Linked DNA regions of Mytilus edulis. The main gene of each other region encodes a partner of the protein of the gene in region 2 in a complex. Links are inferred from orthologs where the notes say so. Each region holds a gene or a part of one and is shown on either strand. Other genes may lie near its edges.

What was found.
Region 1: general transcription factor IIF subunit 2-like (region 2) and DNA-directed RNA polymerase II subunit RPB3-like share a complex: the UniProt entries of both Homo sapiens proteins name them as parts of the TBP-based Pol II pre-initiation complex. The link is inferred for Mytilus edulis from reciprocal best matches to the Homo sapiens genes GTF2F2 and POLR2C.

The regions. Positions count from the first base shown.
Region 1 is NC_092348.1:90,689,598-90,700,887, reverse strand, and holds the start of DNA-directed RNA polymerase II subunit RPB3-like, read left to right. Parts: upstream 1-5,966; 5' UTR 5,967-6,033; coding exon 6,034-6,119; intron 6,120-8,672; coding exon 8,673-8,722; intron 8,723-9,119; coding exon 9,120-9,241; intron 9,242-11,131; coding exon 11,132-11,260; intron 11,261-11,290. Other genes in the region: regulation of nuclear pre-mRNA domain-containing protein 1B-like, read right to left, coding at 5,558-5,708. UniProt on the Homo sapiens protein: Core component of RNA polymerase II (Pol II), a DNA-dependent RNA polymerase which synthesizes mRNA precursors and many functional non-coding RNAs using the four ribonucleoside triphosphates as substrates.
Region 2 is NC_092346.1:81,242,342-81,253,494, reverse strand, and holds the start of general transcription factor IIF subunit 2-like, read left to right. Parts: upstream 1-6,232; 5' UTR 6,233-6,300; coding exon 6,301-6,387; intron 6,388-10,457; coding exon 10,458-10,534; intron 10,535-11,153. Other genes in the region: replication factor C subunit 4-like, read right to left, coding at 2,749-2,858. UniProt on the Homo sapiens protein: TFIIF is a general transcription initiation factor that binds to RNA polymerase II and helps to recruit it to the initiation complex in collaboration with TFIIB.

The sequences.
Region 1 (11,290 bases), on a different chromosome or scaffold from region 2:
ATTGGTGGTATGACACCTTTAAGCGAAATGCGGTGATACATCAAATTCAGAAAACAATTGATTTTTTTTGTCTTAACTGATATTTTGAAATAATACTAGGCACATTTCAATCTTTTTGGGGGCAAAATGTCACATATTGCATATTTAGAGCCTAAAACTTGAGTTTGTGCTATTTTTAGCTTTTCTCACCCTGACAATATGCTTTAATATAAAAAAATGTCCTAAATTGTTATAAATGCACAGAAAGTTGTATCTGTGGTGTTAAACATTAAAACATAGGTTATTTACTACCCCCAAAAAATTTTGTTATGCAGATTTAATGAAATTATTTGATTTTTACCCCTTATTTCATTGCGTCATACTATTTACTTGGAAGATAGCATAGCCTAATGTAAACACTGCAGAAACTCACAAAAATACCATTTATTATTCCAAATGAAATTTTTATATCTTAAATTTTATTAACTGATGTAAATAAAAACAGTTTAATGACCATGACTGCACTTTTGATCAATTTGTAGTACTTTACTGACACCAGATGAAAAAAAGGGGGGTCAATATTCCATGACACTTCAATACCTTGGATTTTTTACTAAATTCATTGCGAAAACTGTTGAAAGTCTTTAAAGTAGTAGAACAAACAAGGAAAAATAAGCAAAAACTGATCTTGATATTGAAAGTTTATGTTCCTGTAGCCCAAAATGAAATTTTCAAGTATTTTCTATCAAAGTCATACATTACAGTCAGTTTAAATTGAGCTGTGAAATTTTTAATATAAGTTGCATTATGCTCAGAAAGGCTGTTTTTAACTTCAAATTGACTAAGGATTAAGAATAAAGCAAAACAAAAGATTTCTAATCTACTTTTTTGTCTCTTTAGGTGTCATACCACCAATTACTCCCTCAAATTTAGAACGTATGTGAAAGTAGGCCTACTCGGACAAAAAATAGTGCATTTGATGTCATTGTTCACCTAAACTAACCAAAAAATTTGCAGAAATAAAACTTTGGTTGAAAGAGAAATATATCAAGACCATTTTGAGCCAAATTTTATCTGTCTAGGAGTTTGCATTTAAAATTGAGGATTAATACACTCCATGGTATACTAATTTAAGATTTTCAGAAAACCAGGGGTTATTTTTAGTGGTACCTCCTTTCGGAAGCTCTCTTCTTTCTTATATGATTTAGAATGTATACTGAAAATTGGCATGCAGAAAGGTGACACCTGTACAATTCAGGATATACCTAGTTTCTATGAAGTTAAACTTAAGGTAAAATATTTAGAAAGCTGTGAAAATTGCAAAATTTGGTTGAACAGATAGGGACTTTTAATTGGTGGTATGACACCTTTAAGACAATATGCAGACACTCAATCCTGCTTTTCAAAGATCTACAAAAAATTTATTTCTATGTGATTTCAACATGCATTGTTGTTTCTTCTAAGACATCACAATAGGAAATTTGTAGATCAAAGAAAATTTGAGACCAAAATATGTAAATAGATATAATCATTAAACTGGTTAAAAAAAGGATGAATCAGATAAGAATTATAGAAACATATGTTTATATACATGTACATTGTACATTTGTATGTATATATAAAAATAAGATGTGGTATGAATGTCAATGAGAAAATATCCACAAGAGACCAAATGGCACAGAAATTAACAGCAATACAATGTAGGTCACTGTGTGGCCTTATAAGACAACGATGAGCAAAGCCCATTCCCATTTGTCAGCTTTACAATTTGTTAAATGGCCTGCAATGACAAATGTAAAGCTGTTCAAATGTGAAACTGTCCAAATATAAGAAAATAAAGGGTGGCAGATAGATGAAACTTAATAAATGAAGAGATAAATGAAAAATTAAGACCCTCAGTCAGCTCCAGAAGCAACAAAGCAAAATTAATGCATTGGTTTTGGTCCGGTAAATATCCACTTTATAATATGGGACAAGCTCTGATGTCCCACGGCTGCACATTGTCTGGCAAAACAACCGTAGGATGTCAGAGTATGCATGAATAGTTAAGAAAAGTAATCATGTGCTTACTCACATCGGGGGTCTCATTGGGGGGTTCTAATCCCAGATACCCCTTACTGTTTTGTCAGATTCCTTTATCACTCTTGCGCTATGTATGTAAGCAATTCTCATTTTTTTGTGATTTCCAATGTCCTGCAAGAATTCATTTCCCGTTATTACGGCAAAATAATTTGACTTTCACATGTCATGCTTACAAAAAATCCGCAATCCTGCTTCATGCTAAAAATGCTTAGACCCCAATGAGACCCACCACATCATGCACATATTTCATAAAATTTAAAACTCTTTACATTTAATAATATTCATATCCTTATTTACTATTTGATATGTTTCCCGACCAGTTATATTATGGTTGAATCCATGACAAATCGCCCCACTGGCAAATCGCCCCACACCTAATCGCCCCACTTTTTAACCAACTCGCCCCACTTTAAAAAAAAAACGCCCCACTTGTGAAATGTGTTAAATCCCGTTAATATTACTCCTGCCAACTCGCCCCACTTAATGGAAAACGGTAAAATCTAGATAAATATATTTATATTAACCAGGATGAATTTAGTAATGCCAACTCGCCCCACTTATGGAAAAAGATGTTATCCCGTTGTATATGGGTTAAATCCTGTTAATATATATGTTACAGTAAATAGGTGAAATTAGGAATTACATGTAATTACTAAAATTTAGGAATTACATGTAATTCCCGATGCACTTAGTAAATACAAGTAATTCCTAAAACTGCCCAGTAATTACCAGTAATTACTGAATTAAATTGAATTTTTACACCTATTTACTAACTGTTAAAACAATGTTGTAATATGGTCCACTGATCAAAAGTTATGGTAATACTAATTAGAAAATCATTGAGTATTCAGCTATCAAAATTTTAGGGTTTTGCAGAACCCAGTGTCTCGCCTACTTTTGCTGTGAGTCGCAGGCCCAACAAAAAAGGAAAAAAAATATTTTGTATTTTCTTCTAGATACTATCTTTTGACTAGTTCTGTAAGAATCTTCTATCAAAATTTGTTAAAATTTCAGGATGGTTTATGAAATCTAATCTTTAACTGCAGAGTGTATGTTATGTTAACTGGAAAAAAATAGTCCGTTTAAATAAGAAATATACCAAAAAGTATAGTTTTTTTTACAAACTTTATTTCTAGATATTATCTTATGATCATAAACAAGCGTCTATCCAATTTTGACAGAAATCCAGGATATTTTGAGAAGTTATTAAATTTTTTAAAAGTTAACCACAGTGTGAATGTAATGTTAACTGGCATAAAAACTAAGTCCCTTTATAAGTAAAATACGGAATTTTTTTTTTACAAAATTTACTTCTGGAAATGTATCTTTTGATCATAAACAACTGAAGCTTCTGTTCAAGTTTGGTAGAAATCCAGGATAATTTGAGAAACTTATCAAAATTTAAAAAATATAACCACAGAGCGAATATTTGTGGACGCAGCTGGCGACGGAATTGTTAGGTTGGTTCGCTATGTCTCGCTTTTGCGACAAAAAAAAACAGAGGCTCGATGAAAAGGAAAAGAAATGTCAACATTGAAAGTAAAACAAAAGGGATGGACCATTTAGTTTACTTTTTCAATCCACAAAAAGATCATTCTTATACAGGAAGAAACGATGATAAAATTTTGTTGGAGATATATAGCTTAAGTTTTGAGGTCTTGAAGAACTCATAAAAACACGGAAATATGAAAATGTGACTCTTTACGCCATCAATTTGTATAAATTTGTTTGTGAAGAATGTCAGCTTCATCGCAAATGTCTGACAAAAGAAGTCGTAGTTAAACCTGTTTTGTAAAAGGAATTTAACTCATGTTATTGGCCGAGTTGATATGCAGAGTATGCCTGATGAAGATTTTAATATAACAAAATTATGAGATTTTAAGAATTATAAAGATCATTTAACCAAGTTTGCCATAATCTAATGTCTATCTTAACAATTAAATAGCTGGCTAAGTTGCCTATAAATTTCTCAAAAATGTTTTTCTCAATTTTGGATTGATATCATTGTCTTGCATGTTCAAAATGATTTTTAGGGAGTTTCAAAACTTATAAAACAACCATTTTCCAGTTTCAATTTACAAACACTGAAGAGTATGCACTTTTTATGTGCCTTATCATCCTTGATCCTTAAGTAAGCCCTAAAAATCCCTACCCCTTACTTTCTTATTTGACATCTTGAATTATGTCTTTAATTTTTAAAGAGAAATATCAAGTTAGTAAATAGCTGTAAAAATGACAAAAAAAATCAGTAAATACCTGTAATCACTGAAACAACAAGTAAATACATGTAATTACTAAATTGACTAGTGATTACAGGTATTTACTGAAATGTTTAGTAATTACGTGTAATTCCTAATTTCACCTATTTACTGTAACATATATATATGTTATTCCTTTTTTTTTAAATAGCAGTAAGAAGTGATTATTTTTTTTTAGTATTTTGATAACGTGAATGTCAACTCGCTCCACTTGTGAAAAATAGAAAAATCCTGATGAATTGATTTATGCCAACTAGCCCCACTTATGAAAAGTACAAGTATGAATAGAGTTAAAGGCTTCCAACTAGCACCACTTACGAATAAAATAATTAAACTGTAATGTCATGAATGTGTGTTGGCTTTCCAATTGGTCCCACTTATGAGAACGTTTGAAATGCTTCTTTTTTTTTGTACTTTCTTCTGCATAGTTGAAATAAAACAGAAATAAGGTTAGGAACATCATTTTCTGATTGCTCGTTAGTGTTGAATTATTCTTAATTCAGAGACAAAAGTAACCAATCCAGTAATTGCTATGATAACAAAATTGCTGTTAATTGAAATCCTTTGATATGTTTAATATAACAGGTTTCTTTTCAATTGGCAAATAACTAAGATTACAAGAATACAGTTATTCTCCAACAATACGAAAATTATATTTAGAATTATAATTCCAGTATATCAATAATAGAAATAACATAAATTTTCAGTTTGTTTGTATTTTGTGTAGATTAGTTTTCATTAAAGTGGGGCTAGTTGGCAGACATGAAAATTATATATTAATCTAGATATTACCGTTTTCTATTAAGTGGGGCGAGTTGGCAGGAGTAATATTAACAGGATTTAACACATTTCACATGTGGGGCGATTTTTAAAAATGTGGGGCGATTTGGTGAATCAGTTTGGGGCGTTTTTTTTTAAAGTGGGGCGAGTTGGTGAAGAAGTGGGGCGATTAGGGGTGGGGCGATTTGCCAGTGGGGCGATTTGTCCTGCTTCCTTATGGTTCATGTATGTTTAACTCATTCAGGTACATGTAGCTGGTCCTAACCTTTTCTTGAGACAAAAACTTCTTTTGTGGCTTGCAAGTGCACCTTTACAGACAATGGCAGTTACTAGCTAGCATTGCAGAATGTCAACTCAATGTTGTAAGTTTTATCTTCATCAGAGATATACAATTTTGACATTTTAGACACGTTACACGTGCTGTTCTGTGTATAAGATTTGTGGACAGGTATACTGACCTTTTTGCAATTCTCTCAGCCATACTTGGGTGATGGTTTTTGAATGCTTTCTGTGGTGAATCAGCCATAATGATAACGTCTGAATACTCTGCTGTGTGTTGTTCAGTTCGCTTAATTTCTTTACGAAGTTGCTATCTGTAAATGAAGACATGTTTATGCTGTTTGTTTCTGAGGACCACAGCTGTCCCGAAACCGGAAGTAAACAAGATGTGTCAAATAAATTGCTGTAGGGTATGTTTGATATTTTTATAAAAAAAAACATATTATATGCCTAGCAATGTCAATCTTTAAGTATTTTATTGTTCAAAACGAAGAGCTTGTTCTTTCATTAAGAAGTATTTGTGAAGATCTCGGCATAAAACTGATTTCAAAGATTTTTTTGTAACCTGCCCACCCCTAAAAATTTCAATGGGACAGGACGGTTTTATTTCCGGTTTATGATGTGAGGATTTTTTGAAAGACACAATCGAGAAAAAATGCCTTACGCTAATCAACCTACTGTAACATTAACAGAACTAACAGACGAGAATCTTAAATTTACACTTGAAGATACTGATTTGAGGTTACATAAACACTAAGTTAACATATCTGCTATGCCTCTAACATTAAGATTCTGATACAGGTGCTGCATGTGGTGAAAATATAAAGTGATTTTAAAAATTATGAAATAAACATAACTGTTTTTTTTCTCTTTAAACTAGATACTTCGAATTCTTATTACTGCTGCAACACCGATTTGTAAATGGTTTAATGACATTGCCAAAGAAAAAATGATCAAATAATCATAAGACCTTATTTGATTATATATATATTGCACAATCATGTTTTAGAAGCAGTAAAAACAGTAAATATTTAGGCGTAACTATAAGCCATGATCTTGATTGGGGAACACATATAAACAATATTACCTGTAAGGCAAATAAAACGTAAGATTTTCTTCGTAGGAACTTGAAAAACTGAACACATAAGGTTAAAAACCCTATGTACACATCACTTGTACGCCCAGTCGTCGAATACTCTTCCCTTGTCTGGGATCCGTACTAAAACAACACATCACTCAGGTTGAGCAGGTACAGCGTAAGGCAGCCAGGTTTGTCTTCAATGATTATAAAGACAGATCACCTGGAGCAGTTTCAAATTTAATTAAATCATTGGAATGGGAATTCCGAAAATTTAGAAATAAAAAGGAAAAAAGCTAGATTAACTATGCTATTTAAAATAAATTGGGGGGTTAGTTGAAGTTCCTAAGGACAATTTTACAATATCTGATAGACGTACTAGGGGGAAACATAAATTTAGGCAAATATCAACAAATAAAGATTTCTATAAATTCTCATTTTATCCTCGCACTATTTCGGACTGGAACTCACTACCTGAAGCAATAGGTATGTCTGACACCCTGGAATCCTTCAAAAGTGGCATATCCACTCTAACATTTGAAGGATCCACAACAACTTATTGAACTACAAAGCCACTGTACATAATGTATATATGTTATTGTTAACGATTTTTCTTTGTCATATTATTTTTAAATTAAGTCCATATGTACATAGCACACAAGTTCCGGGAAGTTTTACACTCCTACCTAGGTGTCTACTCACGTATTCGGAAGAAGAAGAAGACATAACTGAACTTCTTCTCTACAAAGCAGGGGCTGCTCTGGCTCACAAAAAATTGGAGCCAGACAAATTGATAGCTTCTATACTTTGTCGCCAGTTCTTGAAAACTTGGAGCCAACTTTATGTTAAAAATCTTAAAAAACAAAGAATATATACCGAAATGTAAAAATCATGATCAAGTTAAGGCATGAAAGAAAAAAATTATAATGGCCTTTCAAGACTCATACATTGTAATTATTTGGACTAGATCAAGCTCTATTTACACCTATTAGTGCCAGAGAATTATTTAAATAGTGCATATTTAAAATACATATAGACTTTCAGTTTGATATCTGTATTCTTTATGGGATAGAGGTTTAAATCTTATAATAACTCAATAATTTGTTTATCCATTCACTTGAGGGATTGTCTGATACTAAATGGTGGTATACGTTATCATTATAGACATTATGTTTCAGTACATCTGTTTTAGTACATAACATTAATTTAATAAAATGTGTTTTTTTATGTTTTAAATTGTAATGTTATTCTTCTGGTTCAGGTAAGGGTTCAACGGTTGCATTTGTTTGCACATGTCTTAATCAAGTCAGGAACTGTTGTTCAGTAGTTGTCCTTTTGTTGATGTGGTTCATAAGTGTTTCTTGTAATAATAAGTTTTTTTTAGAGTAAATTGCTATACTATTTTATGGAATAGCACTAGCATGACTGGATTGGTTTGTAACCATCACAGTTGCAGTGTAGGGCACTATATACATGTAGGTGTTCAATCGTATTTTAGATTGAGCTGGTATTATGGTATTTGTAATGTTTAGATGTTGTTTTCTCTGGATTTTTAATTGGACTTTTGTTTATCTTTTACATGGTTTTGTCTAGTTTTCTTAGACCTTTAATTTATTTTTAATTCCCCCTATCCCTCTAATGGTATCAACTATTGATAAACTAGAACTTTAAAAAGCTTAGGTACAAATGTATATGAATAGATTCAAATCTTCTGTCAATCAATGATGGACAAGTATACAGTGATATTAATGGTGTATAGTGTTTTGCTTTACAAAAAAAAGAGAAATTGTCATCATGTAGGTCATGGTATTTTGGTATTCTTATATATTGTTAATTTTAATGTGATCAAAGGATTTGTTCAATGTTATCAGGTAACTTCATTCTAACATTGAAGTATTTTGATTAATTAGATATACATGTAAAAATGTATGTATGAGTATTAAAAACAAATGGTATTTGGAAAAAAATACACAGTAACAGACATTTGAAATTTACATTGGTTGAAATTTCTGAAAAAAATAATAGTTCAATATTACTTTTAAAAACATAATTCTTTACTGATTGTGACGAGGACGAAAATATTTTGTTTTTTTCATGATGAAAAATTATGTTTATAGTTTCTATACATTTTGTACCTCCGCCTTGAAGATTGAAGGAATGAACTTCTATAGCTATACATTTAATACTGATTATATTTCATTTTATTTGTTTTACAGTGTTGCAAATGCTGTTAGAAGAGTATGCATAGCTGAAGTTCCAACCATGGGTAAATATGATAGGAAATTATATAACATTTATAAGTATGGTATTTTATATTGAAAAAACATGCACGTAGATTGAAGTTTTATTTTTCACTAAAACTACAAAGAAAACAGCCTAACTCCTTAGTGAACTTTCCTTAATGATATGGAAAAAAACAGGTAACAGTAACAATTTTTTTGAATGTCATTTTTCAGTCTGTTGCAAGTCAGAGAGAGGGTTGAAATATGTATAACCCTGTCACACAGTTTGTCTTAAGTAATTGAACGGACAATTTATTACACAAGTCTACATTCTCAATAAGCATTTTGATAAGGTAAATATGTAAAACATAATGTTTTTACAATATTAGTCCTTTTATTTAAATCTCCCTATGTTTGTGATGTTTATGTTATGAATTTCAGCAATAGATTGGGTACAGATGGAATCCAATTCTACAGTGTTATTTGATGAGTTTCTGGCCCACAGAATAGGTTTAATACCACTGACCAGTGATGAAATAGTGGACAGGATGCAGTATTCCAGAGTAAGATTATAATCAACAGAAAAGGATTTTGTGGGTGTACTCTATAACATTTCAGACTTTATAAAGTATGAGATACTGAGCTTTTTTAATCAACCATTTTTAAAAAGGGCACACACAATTGGCTAAAGGTCTTATACAGATGGTGTTATTATTTTAAAACAAGTGTTGCAATCGTCAGCAGATAAAAATGATAAAAAATAGACTACTTCATGTTTGAAGGCAACAGCAGTTTGAATAAAAAATCTGTTTTAAATAATTTCAAGCATGCATATGTGATTACTTATCAAAGTAGAGTAAAGTATTAAAAGTTGAATATGTACTTTATATATCATCTAAGAGTACTCACAATGTGTTCACTTTATATAGATATAGGAAGATGTGGTGTGAGTGCCAATGAGACAACTCTCCATCCAAATAAAAATTTATAAAAGTAAACCATTATAGGTCAATGTACGGCCTTCAACTCACTCCGAACAGCCGAAATTTATGTTCACTTTGTTATAACTCTTGTGAATTTTCACAATGATCGAATGGTTATGATTGTATGAAATAAGGAGATGTGGTATGATTGCCAAAGAGTTACCTTTAGAGCTTTAATAAAATGGATGTTGGCAACTGTAGGCCATGGTATAGCCTTCAACAATGTGAAATGTGTATACTGTTTGTTTATTCATTAGATATTATCTGATTGTTCTAACTCTTTTAATTATCACCAATTATCCTGTTTTAATGGGATTCACTATTCACCAGCTGTGGTGGAATTTGAACAAATCATCTTGTGTGTATAATTACTGTATTTCTCGACTTTTAATGAAAACATATCATTCTATTTGTTAACAACCCATACAATCACATGCATATAATCTTTGAGTTGCTATGATAGCTACTTAAAGATTATATATATATGTGATATTTTATATGTTGTTCATTTTTGGTACCGAAAACTCAGAGGGGAAAGTGAATATGGTTTTATTTTCTGAGGAAGTTGATGGGTTTTTGGAAAGATTGGAACTTGTTCTAAATCTTTCTTAAGGCACTGGCCTCCTTAACAACACGACTGGTTAGCTACTAAATGTATTCACTGCACTGAAATATAGCTCATATAGTTCTCATGTATGTGCACAGAATACACATATAATTGTGAAAAAATGGGTATATTTTTGGAGCGGTTCATTTAAGAATGTATGTCATTAGGGTGTGTTCATGTGCAGGCTTTTTAATTAGTTTGCATAATTAATTGAGTATTGATACAATACTAGTATGATTGACAACTGTCATTATCACCAAACAATCAGAGACAAGGTGGACCTTTAATTACTTTGCCCACCTCCTTAACTGCGAATTAAATTGACCTCATTACTAATCAACATTGTTGGTGAAATTAACTAGGAAAATTTTAGATTTGCAATTTTTTTAGACCCATGTTATTTAATTTGAGCTCATTTTATATTCATACTGGAAAAGCACTTTTCCTTCTAAAGACCGGCTGTTAATGTAATTTTCAGCATTAGTGCTTCAATATTATTAATGTTCTTTTTTGTCCCCACCATACCTTGATATGAAATTATTCAAACTACTCCAATCTTTCCATGAGTGATATCCATCACTTTGATTTAAAGAAGTTATGTGTTTTATATAATGGGGTTGGTCAAAACAAATTGTACAGTTTTAAGGTTTACTTGATAGCTGGTAATAAAAAAAGTCTTTATTATTGTGACAAGATAGGTTTTAATAAGAATTTTAAATTTAAATAGCACTATTTGTTTGTAGTATTTTATAAAATAAATGTAGCAACTTTGATTTCTTTTTACTTTTTAGAAGAATATAAATGCATGTGTAAATTTGTGGAATTTCCAGTATATAAATAATTATTTGCACATTTGTTTTCAGGATTGTACTTGTGAAGAGTTTTGTCCGGAGTGTTCAGTAGAGTTCACATTGGATATGAAATGTAACGATGACCAGACCACCCACGTAACTAGTGCACATCTCATCTCCAGTAATCCTAAATGTGTTCCTGTAAGTAATCCACGGTACTTTTGTCATTTA
Region 2 (11,153 bases):
TTATGAATGAGTTGAGAAACTAATACAATAGTCAATACTTACTACTTCTCCATCCATGGAACATGTTTACTTATTAGTAAGATTATAAATGAGTTGAGAAACTAATACAATAGTCAATACTTACTACTTCTCCACCCATGGAACATGTTTACTTTTTAGTAAGATTATGAACATGTTTACTTTTTAGTAAGATTATAAATGAGTTGAGAAACTAATACAACAGTCAATACTTACTACTTCTCCATCCATGGAACATGTTTACTTATTAGTAAGATTATGAATGAGTTGAGAAACTAATACAATAGTCAATACTTACTACTTCTCCACCCATGGAACATGTTTACTTATAAGTAAGATTATGAATGAGTTGAGAAACTAATACAATAGTCAATACTTACTACTTCTCCACCCATGGAACATGTTTACTTTTTAGTAAGATTATAAATGAGTTGAGAAACTAATACAACAGTCAATACTTACTACTTCTCCATCCATGGAACATGTTTACTTATTAGTAAGATTATGAATGAGTTGAGAAACTAATACAACAGTCAATACTTACTACTTCTCCATCCATGGAACATGTTTACTTATTAGTAAGATTATGAATGAGTTGAGAAATAATACAATAGTCAATACTTACTACTTCTCCATCCATGGAACATGTTTACTTATTAGTAAGATTATGAATGAGTTGAGAAATAATACAATAGTCAATACTTACTACTTCTCCATCCATGGAACATGTTTACTTATTAGTAAGATTATGAATGAGTTGAGAAACTAATACAACAGTCAATACTTACTACTTCTCCACCCATGGAACATGTTTACTTATTAGTAAGATTATGAATGAGTTGAGAAACTAATACAACAGTCAATACTTACTACTTCTCCACCCATGGAACATGTTTACTTATTAGTAAGATTATGAATGAGTTGAGAAATAATACAATAGTCAATACTTACTACTTCTCTATCCATGGAACATGTTTACTTATTAGTAAGATTATGAACATGTTTACTTATTAGTAAGATTATAAATGAGTTGAGAAATAATACAACAGTCAATACTTACTACTTCTCCACCCATGGAACATGTTTACTTATTAGTAAGATTATAAATGAGTTGAGAAACTAATACAATAGTCAATACTTACTACTTCTCCACCCATGGAACATGTTTACTTATTAGTAAGATTATGAATGAGTTGAGAAACTAATACAATAGTCAATACTTACTACTTCTCCATCCATGGAACATGTTTATTTATTAGTAAGATTATGAACATGTTTACTTTTTAGTAAGATTATAAATGAGTTGAGAAACTAATACAACGGTCAATACTTACTACTTCTCCATCCATGGAACATGTTTACTTATTAGTAAGATTATGAATGAGTTGAGAAACTAATACAATAGTCAATACTTACTACTTCTCCACCCATGGAACATGTTTACTTATTAGTAAGATTATGAATGAGTTGAGAAACTAATACAATAGTCAATACTTACTACTTCTCCATCCATGGAACATGTTTATTTATTAGTAAGATTATGAACATGTTTACTTTTTAGTAAGATTATAAATGAGTTGAGAAACTAATACAACGGTCAATACTTACTACTTCTCCATCCATGGAACATGTTTACTTATTAGTAAGATTATGAATGAGTTGAGAAACTAATACAACAGTCGATACTTACTACTTCTCCATCCATGGAACATGTCTACTTATTAGTAAGATTATAAATGAGTTGAGAAACTAATACAACAGTCAATACTTACTACTTCTCCACCCATGGAACATGTTTACTTATTAGTAAGATTATGAATGAGTTGAGAAACTAATACAATAGTCAATACTTACTACTTCTCCACCCATGGAACATGTTTACTTTTTAGTAAGATTATAAATGAGTTGAGAAACTAATACAACAGTCAATACTTACTACTTCTCCATCCATGGAACATGTTTACTTATTAGTAAGATTATGAATGAGTTGAGAAACTAATACAATAGTCAATACTTACTACTTCTCCATCCATGGAACATGTTTACTTATTAGTAAGATTATGAATGAGTTGAGAAACTAATACAATAGTCAATACTTACTACTTCTCCACCCATGGAACATGTTTACTTATTAGTAAGATTATGAACATGTTTACTTTTTAGTAAGATTATAAATGAGTTGAGAAACTAATACAACAGTCAATACTTACTACTTCTCCATCCATGGAACATGTTTACTTATTAGTAAGATTATGAATGAGTTGAGAAACTAATACAACAGTCAATACTTACTACTTCTCCACCCATGGAACATGTTTACTTTTTAGTAAGATTATGAATGAATCGAGAAACTAATACAACAGTCAATACTTACTACTTCTCCACCCATGGAACATGTTTACTTATTAGTAAGATTATGAACATGTTTACTTTTTAGTAAGATTATAAATGAGTTGAGAAACTAATACAACAGTCAATATTTACTACTTCTCCATCCATGGAACATGTTTACTTATTAGTAAGATTATGAATGAGTTGAGAAACTAATACAATAGTCAATACTTACTACTTCTCCACCCATGGAACATGTTTACTTATTAGTAAGATTATGAATGAGTTGAGAAACTAATACAACAGTCAATACTTACTACTTCTCCACCCATGGAACATGTTTACTTTTTAGTAAGATTATGAATGAGTTGAGAAACTAATACAACAGTCAATACTTACTACTTCTCCACCCATGGAACATGTTTACTTTTTTCTCTTGTTGGTTCTTTTGAAGTTGGTTTATCTTTTGTCTTGGTTAAACCAGATTTTCCAGTCAAGAATGCTTGCATTGTAGAAATCTAAAATGACATACATATTGCATATATACATTAGTGTCATGATTATTACAAGTTTAGATATGTATTTTAGTAGTGCTTTGCATGTATTTCCATATGCCTGTGCTGTTATATATCTTGTCTGTGTTTTAATGTTATTTTATCTTCGGTGAAAAGCTCTTAACCCTTTCACCGATAGCTGCCCAGAAAGAAGCTACTCTGAGACGATGGCTTCCCTGGCTACTATTACTCAAGTGGGAGATCTTCATAATAAATGTCAATAAAAACTTGTCTATAGTTATTTGTGTCTTTATTTCATTCACTAACACCATGTTCACAGTTTTGTTCATGTTTTGATAATTTTTTCTTCATAAAATATTAATGAGGCTGTACAAATTCCTTACACTGAACGATGTCCATTCCAAGTGTTTTGTACATGAAACGACATTTTATGTAAAAAAAAGTATACACATTTGGCTTCAATTCTTCCATATTCTTTCAAAAAAAATGTTCCCTCATTTCAAATTCTTGTTAATTCCGTAAATTTCCTTGGATTTTGACATGGTTTTCAACAAACAGAAGCGCCATGTTTACACTTTCATTAGGGTATCCAACAAAGAAAGATAACTCATGTTTGCACTGTTTTTAGCAGGAAATATAAAAGAGGTATTCCGATCCCGGTAAAACGGGACTCATCGGCAAAAGGGTTAAGAGCTTATGTTTGTATTGTTATACATGTATATGTAAACCGAATCAAAATAAAACTTTATTATTCGTATAAGTACATAATCATAAATAAACTATGAATTCAATAAATATTTACATGTACATGTACGATGTGCCACAGTCGCCTGAAGATTTCATAATAATAAAAAATGGGGGAAATATTTCAACCATATTTTGCTTGAAATCTTCAGGCGACTGTGGAAAATATGTGCTAATTATCAAGTCTTGGACACAAAGCTTCAATTATGGTAATCAGTTAGCCATCCCAATGATCGACATTTAAAAAAAGATATTAAACTTCACTTTCAATGTTCTGACATTAACTGTAAAAAGGCAGTGCATCATTTGAAGTGTGCAACATCAGCAACAGCATTCTGGTATGTGCTTTCTGGCCGGGCCCGAATTAGTGGTGTTACAACTTTAGATAAAGGTATCAATGATAATTCACAGGTTGATTTTTTCTGTCAATCATGATTCACAGAAAATAAATTTCCATGATCACGATCACAAAAATATAAAAAAAAAAATCTGTAGAAAAATGGATCATGCGAAAATGTGCCGATCACAAAGAACGAAAATAACCCATCAGGCCCCTCCCTCATAATAGTAAATTACTTTTTTCCTTAATATTTAAAAGATTTTATTTTGAGTGCTTCGTTTTTCCCAGATTTTTTTCTGTGCAACGTTTTTGCGATTTGAACAGAACATCAATAATTATTTTGTGCTTTGAAGACATAAAGGTGGGTCTCATTGGGATCTAAGCGTGATGTGGGATTACTGATTTTTTGTCAGCATGATACGTTAAAGTCAAATTATTGTGCCGTGAAAACGGGAAATGTTGTATAGGCTATAGCAGGACACAGGAAATTACAAGAAAAGGAGAATTGCTTACGTTCATCTAATCGAATTCGTGGATGACATCACTAAAAATATGAGTGCAGGTAAACAGACAGATGTTCTTATAATGGATTTCTCAAAGGCATTTGATAAAGTCGGTCACAGTCTCCTAGTACACAAACTAGAACATTACGGTATCAGTGGTAAAACCAATAGATGGATTGCCAGCTTCCTATCACACCGAACGCAAGCAGTGGTTGTGGATGGAGAGTGCTCATCACATATTGATGTAGAATCTGGAGTTCCCCAAGGCTCTGTCCTTGGTCCTGCATTATTCCTGTTCTACATCAACGACATGCCAGATGGGATCAAATCCACTGTCCGCCTATTTGCTGATGATACAATAGCATATCTTACCATCTCATCCGACAAAGATTCAAACGACCTTCAAAGCGACCTCGACAAACTAGGAACATGGGAAGCCAAATGGAAAATGTCCTTCCATCCGGACAAATGCAACGTTCTTACCATCAGCCGCAAAAACAACACCATTCCAACATCTTACACATTGCATGGTCACAAACTGGAACCTGTCAAAAGTGCTAAATACCTTGGTTGCACCTTCACATCCGAACTGAAGTGGAATGATCATATCAATAATATATGCAACAAAGCCAACAGGACTATAGGCTTCCTAAAGAGAAATCTAAATATAGGAGCAACCTCAGTAAAAGAAAATGCATACAAAAGCCTTGCAAGACCAATAATAGAGTATGCAAGTCCAGTATGGGACCCATACTTTAAAACCGAAATAGATCGTTTAGAAATGGTCCAGAGAAGAGCAGCAAGATACGTTTCCAACAAACACCATAATCACTCAAGTGTCAGCAAAATGATTGAGCACCTGGAATGGCCATCTCTGGAAAAAAGGCGAAAAGATGCTAGGCTAACTATGCTCTATAAAATAGAACACGACAAAGTGGCTGTAATTAAGGAAGGTCGTCTTATGCAACCAACACGACTGTCGAGGAACATGCACGACAAAAGTTTCCAAATTCCAGCAAGCAGAAGTGATTACAGAAAATACTCATTTTTCCCAAGAACAATCAGGGATTGGAACGCTCTCCCTCCTGGGGTAGCATCAGCACCGTCAGTCGAGGCCTTTAAAGCCTCACTGACAAAGCTGAACTAATTTATTGAAATTGGGGGGGGGGGGGGGTCTGCATGCGCACCTCAGTCATGACATAATAATCAGCTCGTTGATTGTGGTCATTATCAGGCAGAAGCAGAAGCATAGTCATGATATTGTAAGCGGGATACGGGAATCTGACAAAACAGTAAGCAGGATCAGAACCCCCCCTTCCCTCAATGAGACCCCCATAAACTAAGTAATAAACAAATTTGACAGAACTTAACGCAGAGGTGTATCATAGATGTATGCAATATATGAATATAAAAAAAAATATATAAAAATATATGAATATAAAAAAATTATTCTATTCTAATACTTCTTGGTTATTGTATTAGGTTGAGCAGCTTTGTTTACTTTAGTCTTTAAAATATTATTATCTTGATGTGAACTGGTGAATGAGCAATCGATTCTCAGCTGTTCTGCAATGAAAGTTTATTTCCCGCTAAAAAAAATTGTGGAGTGAGTAAAAGGAAGATTAATAAGACAAATTGTGATCACGATAATTTTGGTTGAATCTTGTTTTTCAAAACACTGGTTATATTTTTCATCATGTCAGATATTTATAATTCCCCACTAAAAAACTGCAATGAAAGACAGATTTGATGTCGAAATTTCTGAGGCGAAATTTCCGTACAATTTAGCTTTTATTCACAACATGTAATTTTTGTACCTTCACGTTAAAGAACTAAACTTTCAGCTGTAATGTCTATGCCCCCAGAGTTTGAGAAGGCTCATACCCCAAGAGATGTAGATCTTAATGCTGCAGGAAGAGGTGTATGGTTGGTTAAGGTAAACTCACTTGTTACATCACTTATTTGTGACACACAGCAGTGAAAGCATAGTCATGATACATGTAGTCCCTTCTGAGAAAATATTTTTATTGTTTACCTGTTTACTTTGTTGTACCACCTGCTGAATCCGGGTCCGTCCGCCCTGATTCTGGTTCGCCCTAGTTTCTGTTCGCCCTAATACCTGTTCGCCCCGAGTCCGTTCGCCCTGATTTTATTTTTTAGTATAGTGTTGCGTTGTGTGTATATAATTGAATGTGTTGAAGTCAGTCTTCAATTTCGCCGAATATTTATGATGTATCGTGTTATTTTGTCTAAATCTCGTGACACCAAATCGCCGGCACTGCAGCCGTCCCGCTAGACCACACGACCACCTGGGCTTCACAAAATATAAAGCTTTCGGTGGCTGTGTGTTACCTTTCCTCGTCAGTTTTAATCTAGCGGCGTACTACAGTACATGATATATAAGGCATGGAGATGTTATTGTTACAGATCAGCTCAATTATCTATAGTAAAGGATCCTACAAATTAATGCAAGATACAGTCACAGAAAATAATTATATTTATAAGTACGTCTGAGTCAGTGACAACTCTACAACAGATGTATCCATCGGATCACCAGCAATGATGGTGATACATGGCTGTGTACATAATGTATATACAACTCGTCTAATCATCAACCCAACAATGTTAGATCTGTAAATTTGCTTTCGAAATTTTTTCGTTCATTGATGTAACATATATATATCAATAATGAATTTAGGACGAACAAACCCAGGGCGAACGGACTATCAGGGCGAACAAACTCAGTGCGAACGAACCTAGGGCGAACGATCCCGATACCCCACCTGCTACTGTTGTAAAATTTCCTGTAGACTACAGTGCAAATCAAATGATCATACAACAAGGCATATTTATTGTCTACAATACTGGTATAAAAATTTTGTACCAGTATTGTAACTTTTTTTTTTAAAACAACAATACTGGTACATTACTGATATACCAGTATTGTAGTTGTATAATTGTTGACTATACTTTAAGGTGTATAATGAAAAATTAATTTTAAGCAAAATTAGATTTTGAAGTTCAAAGGGAGATTAAATGAACACAAAAAGATTATAGAGGATTATTGTGAAATCAATAAAAGATTAATTACCTATATATATATATATATGTATTGTTTATTTAAAAAAACACAATATTGGTACAATACTGGAATACAATACTGGTACAAATTTTTTATACCAGTATTGTGCACAATACTTGTATACCAGTATTGCGATCACCAACTACAGGAGATCCATGGAATTTACTATCACAAACTATAATTGAAACCACCACTGTTGAGATCCGCTAACACCAGCTGTTCTCTCTAGCTTCAAATAAACAAATTCAAACAAAACATGTACATATATTTTTAATCAAAATCTGTATATACAAACACTCCAATTGTTATAAATTATTTTTATGAATTTTGTATAAATTTTTGTCAATCACGCATGCGCAACAACATGTATTCTTCAGTATTGAAGCCTTGTTGACCTTAAAGAAGAAGAAGAAAAAAATTAATTGCAATGGATCATGGCAGGCACATGTATACACCTTATCTGAATATCGCTACATATGTGTTTGTATTTGGAAATCTGTCCAGCCTGACCCAGGAAATATGCTATTTAAAATTCAACACAGGCTTTAATAATATCGATATAGATAGACAACAATATCTAATAACCAATGACAGTCGGACCAGAGGTATAGGCCGCTTTTACCAGGAAAGAACAAAAACTGACACCTATGGACAGTCATTCTTCCCAAAGACCATCACTGCATCAGGGATTGGAATCAACTTCCAGCTAAAACAACATCGGCTGACTCGATAGAGGGATTCAGAGATGCTCTGAAAGCAGGCTCTGGAAGGAAGTGGACAGCATAGAGTGTATATAATTTTAATTGTAAATTGGCGAACGTTTTAAATGTAAATAACTTTGAGAAGACTTGCTGCCTTGCCAGGTACTGCGCTAAGTTTTCGCGGGACCATACACATTCAATATGAATTTGGTTCCTTACTTCGAAAAGAAGAAGAAGAAGAGGAGTCTGTCCCACTTGAACTTTTGACATCTTACAACAATCACTTTTCCACTGTGGCGTCAAAATATTGTTATTATGATGTTAAAATTTTACAGGAACTTATGTGATGTCCAGTAATGGCGGACAGATAGGCTAGCAATAAGGTGTATAAGGATAAACTGAGTCAGGACATAATTTATCTAGTGAAATGTAATTTATTATTTTAGTGTTTGCCAGCAATCACCTAATCACTATTTTTCAGCAGTTACTGGATATCACAAAGTTCTCATAAAATTTTGACGTCATAATAGAAAATTTTACAAAGTATCTGAAGCCGCAATGCATGGAAAGTACATGTAATTGTTGGATGATGTCAAAAGTTCATTTGGACAGATTCTCGGGTCAAGTGGGACAGATTTCTAAATAGCAATAAGGTGTATTATTTCTGTAAGGAATCTGCGTCCAAATGTTTTACAACTACTTTTTGGCTGCTCTCAAACAAATAACAATAAAGGTTCAATTAACTTGATGTGTGGTCCAATAAAAGTGGACATACATGTTCATGTACAACCACCAATACAGGTGACACTTTTTTAAAATTAATATTAATTTAAAAGATATTTTCGATTTTAGAATGAGGGATGTATGTTGGACAGGTGGGGCCAAACAGTGTCCATTCATTCACATGAAAATGCTTTGATGAAATTTTTTCAAATTCAGATATGTGACTTATTATGTGATTGAGTTATTGCCCATTGAACAAAAAATAATAATTTTTTGAATTTTAGAAAACTATTTTGTTAGTGATTAAATCATATCTAATTTTAGGTTTACGTTACTGGTTCATGTATATATTATTGTGTTTGAGTTATTTCCCTTTGAACAGAAATAGTTTAATTCATTCAAGTATTTCATCAAAAATTAAATTTTGGGGTTCTTTGATATGCTGTTTCTAACAATCATGTCAATGTACTTAGATTTTGGATATTGGACCATAATATTAATAGGTAAATGTTCATTTTCATTTTTTCAGTTTTTTTTACCACATTCATTATGCATGTTATGTGTCACAAACCTATGCTGTATCAAATATTCAATCACAAATTCACAACCCAAAATCAGAGCTGTTTTAAGCTTAAATGTTGTGTCAATACTTGCTCAATTTCTCTCAACAGTTTCTTGTTTAAATGATTTATTGTTTGTTGGTTGCTTAACTACTGGTGGCAAATATTTTTTTTAAATGAGCAGTTAAGCAATTAGAAATCAGAAATCATCATAATTTTTTATGACTTGTTTGCTATAAAACATCAAACACCAGCTGAGCCTAAACACTTCTCAGCATCATCGAACTAGTACCTCTGTTATACATTTGTAGTGAAGTCAGTCAAAATAGTACAGAATGACAAATAAATAAATAAATAAGCTTTTTTGAAAGTCAGCACAGTAGACTAACAGAAAACATAACATGAGCTCTATTGATCTTTTAACCGAAATACAACACAACAATTTTCTTATACAATACATGCAATAAGTTACATAACACAAAATAATGCACTTTTAGCATGGTAGTATTAAATAATAAGCAGGTAATAAGCATGAAAAGTTAGGTATTCAAGTTATAAGCATGAAAAGTTAGGTATTCAAGTTAAAAGCATATGAAAAAGGTTAACTAAGCACGATAAGAAATCTGGTAAAATGCATACATGATAGCATAAAATATGAAATATATATATATAATCTTGTATGATTTTAATTTTTAGTTTCTTGTGTATAATTCGGAGTTTAGTATGACGTCCATTATCACTGTACTATTATGCATATTTTAGGGGCCAGCTGAAGGACACCTACGGGTGCGGGAATTCTCGCTACATTGAAGACCCATTGGTTGCCTTCGGCTGTTGTTTGCTCTATGGTCGGGTGGTTGTCGCTTTGACTTATTCACCATTTCCTTTCTCAATTTTATATAGGATATGATCTAAATGGTAATTTTTTTAACTATTTTAGGTACCAAAGTATTTGTCAGAAAAGTGGAGTCATGCAGATGGTGGAGAAGTTGGAAAGCTCAAAATCACAAGATCAAAGTAAGACCTTAATTTGCAGGGAAGATGCATTATTCTTCTTTAAATTTTTCTCATTCTTTTTCTCATACCTTTACAAAATGTTTTTTTTTTGGTTCTTTCTGAACAAAGAGTCATCAGGCATTTTGGTTTAACTCTGTCCATTTTCCTTCTGTAATAAGGTAAGTTAATTCTATTTAAAATCTGCACATATTTTGAATCAACAATAAGCATGAGCTTGAGAAATCTCCTGCAACCAACTACATGTATAACATATATACAAGCTTTATTTCAAAAAGAAGAAGACCTGGAAACTTCATACACGTATCTGCTATAATAGTATACATATGTCTTTTGTTCTAAGGTTACAATGTTTCCTGTTAATTAATTGTCCTTCAATTTCATGCTTAAAGAAACTGATAATTATAAAAAAGAAGATGTGGTATGATTGCCAATGAGATAACTCTCAATAAGAGATTAAAATGACACAGACACTGACAACTATAGGTAATTTTTTGTTCTTGATGGTATGATAAGTTGTACATGTTTGTCTGTCAGTGTTCATCTGAACTTGACCTCATTTTCATGGAAACATTTTTGTGTTCGGTCTTTTTCTCAAATGACTTGAACAAAAACATGATAG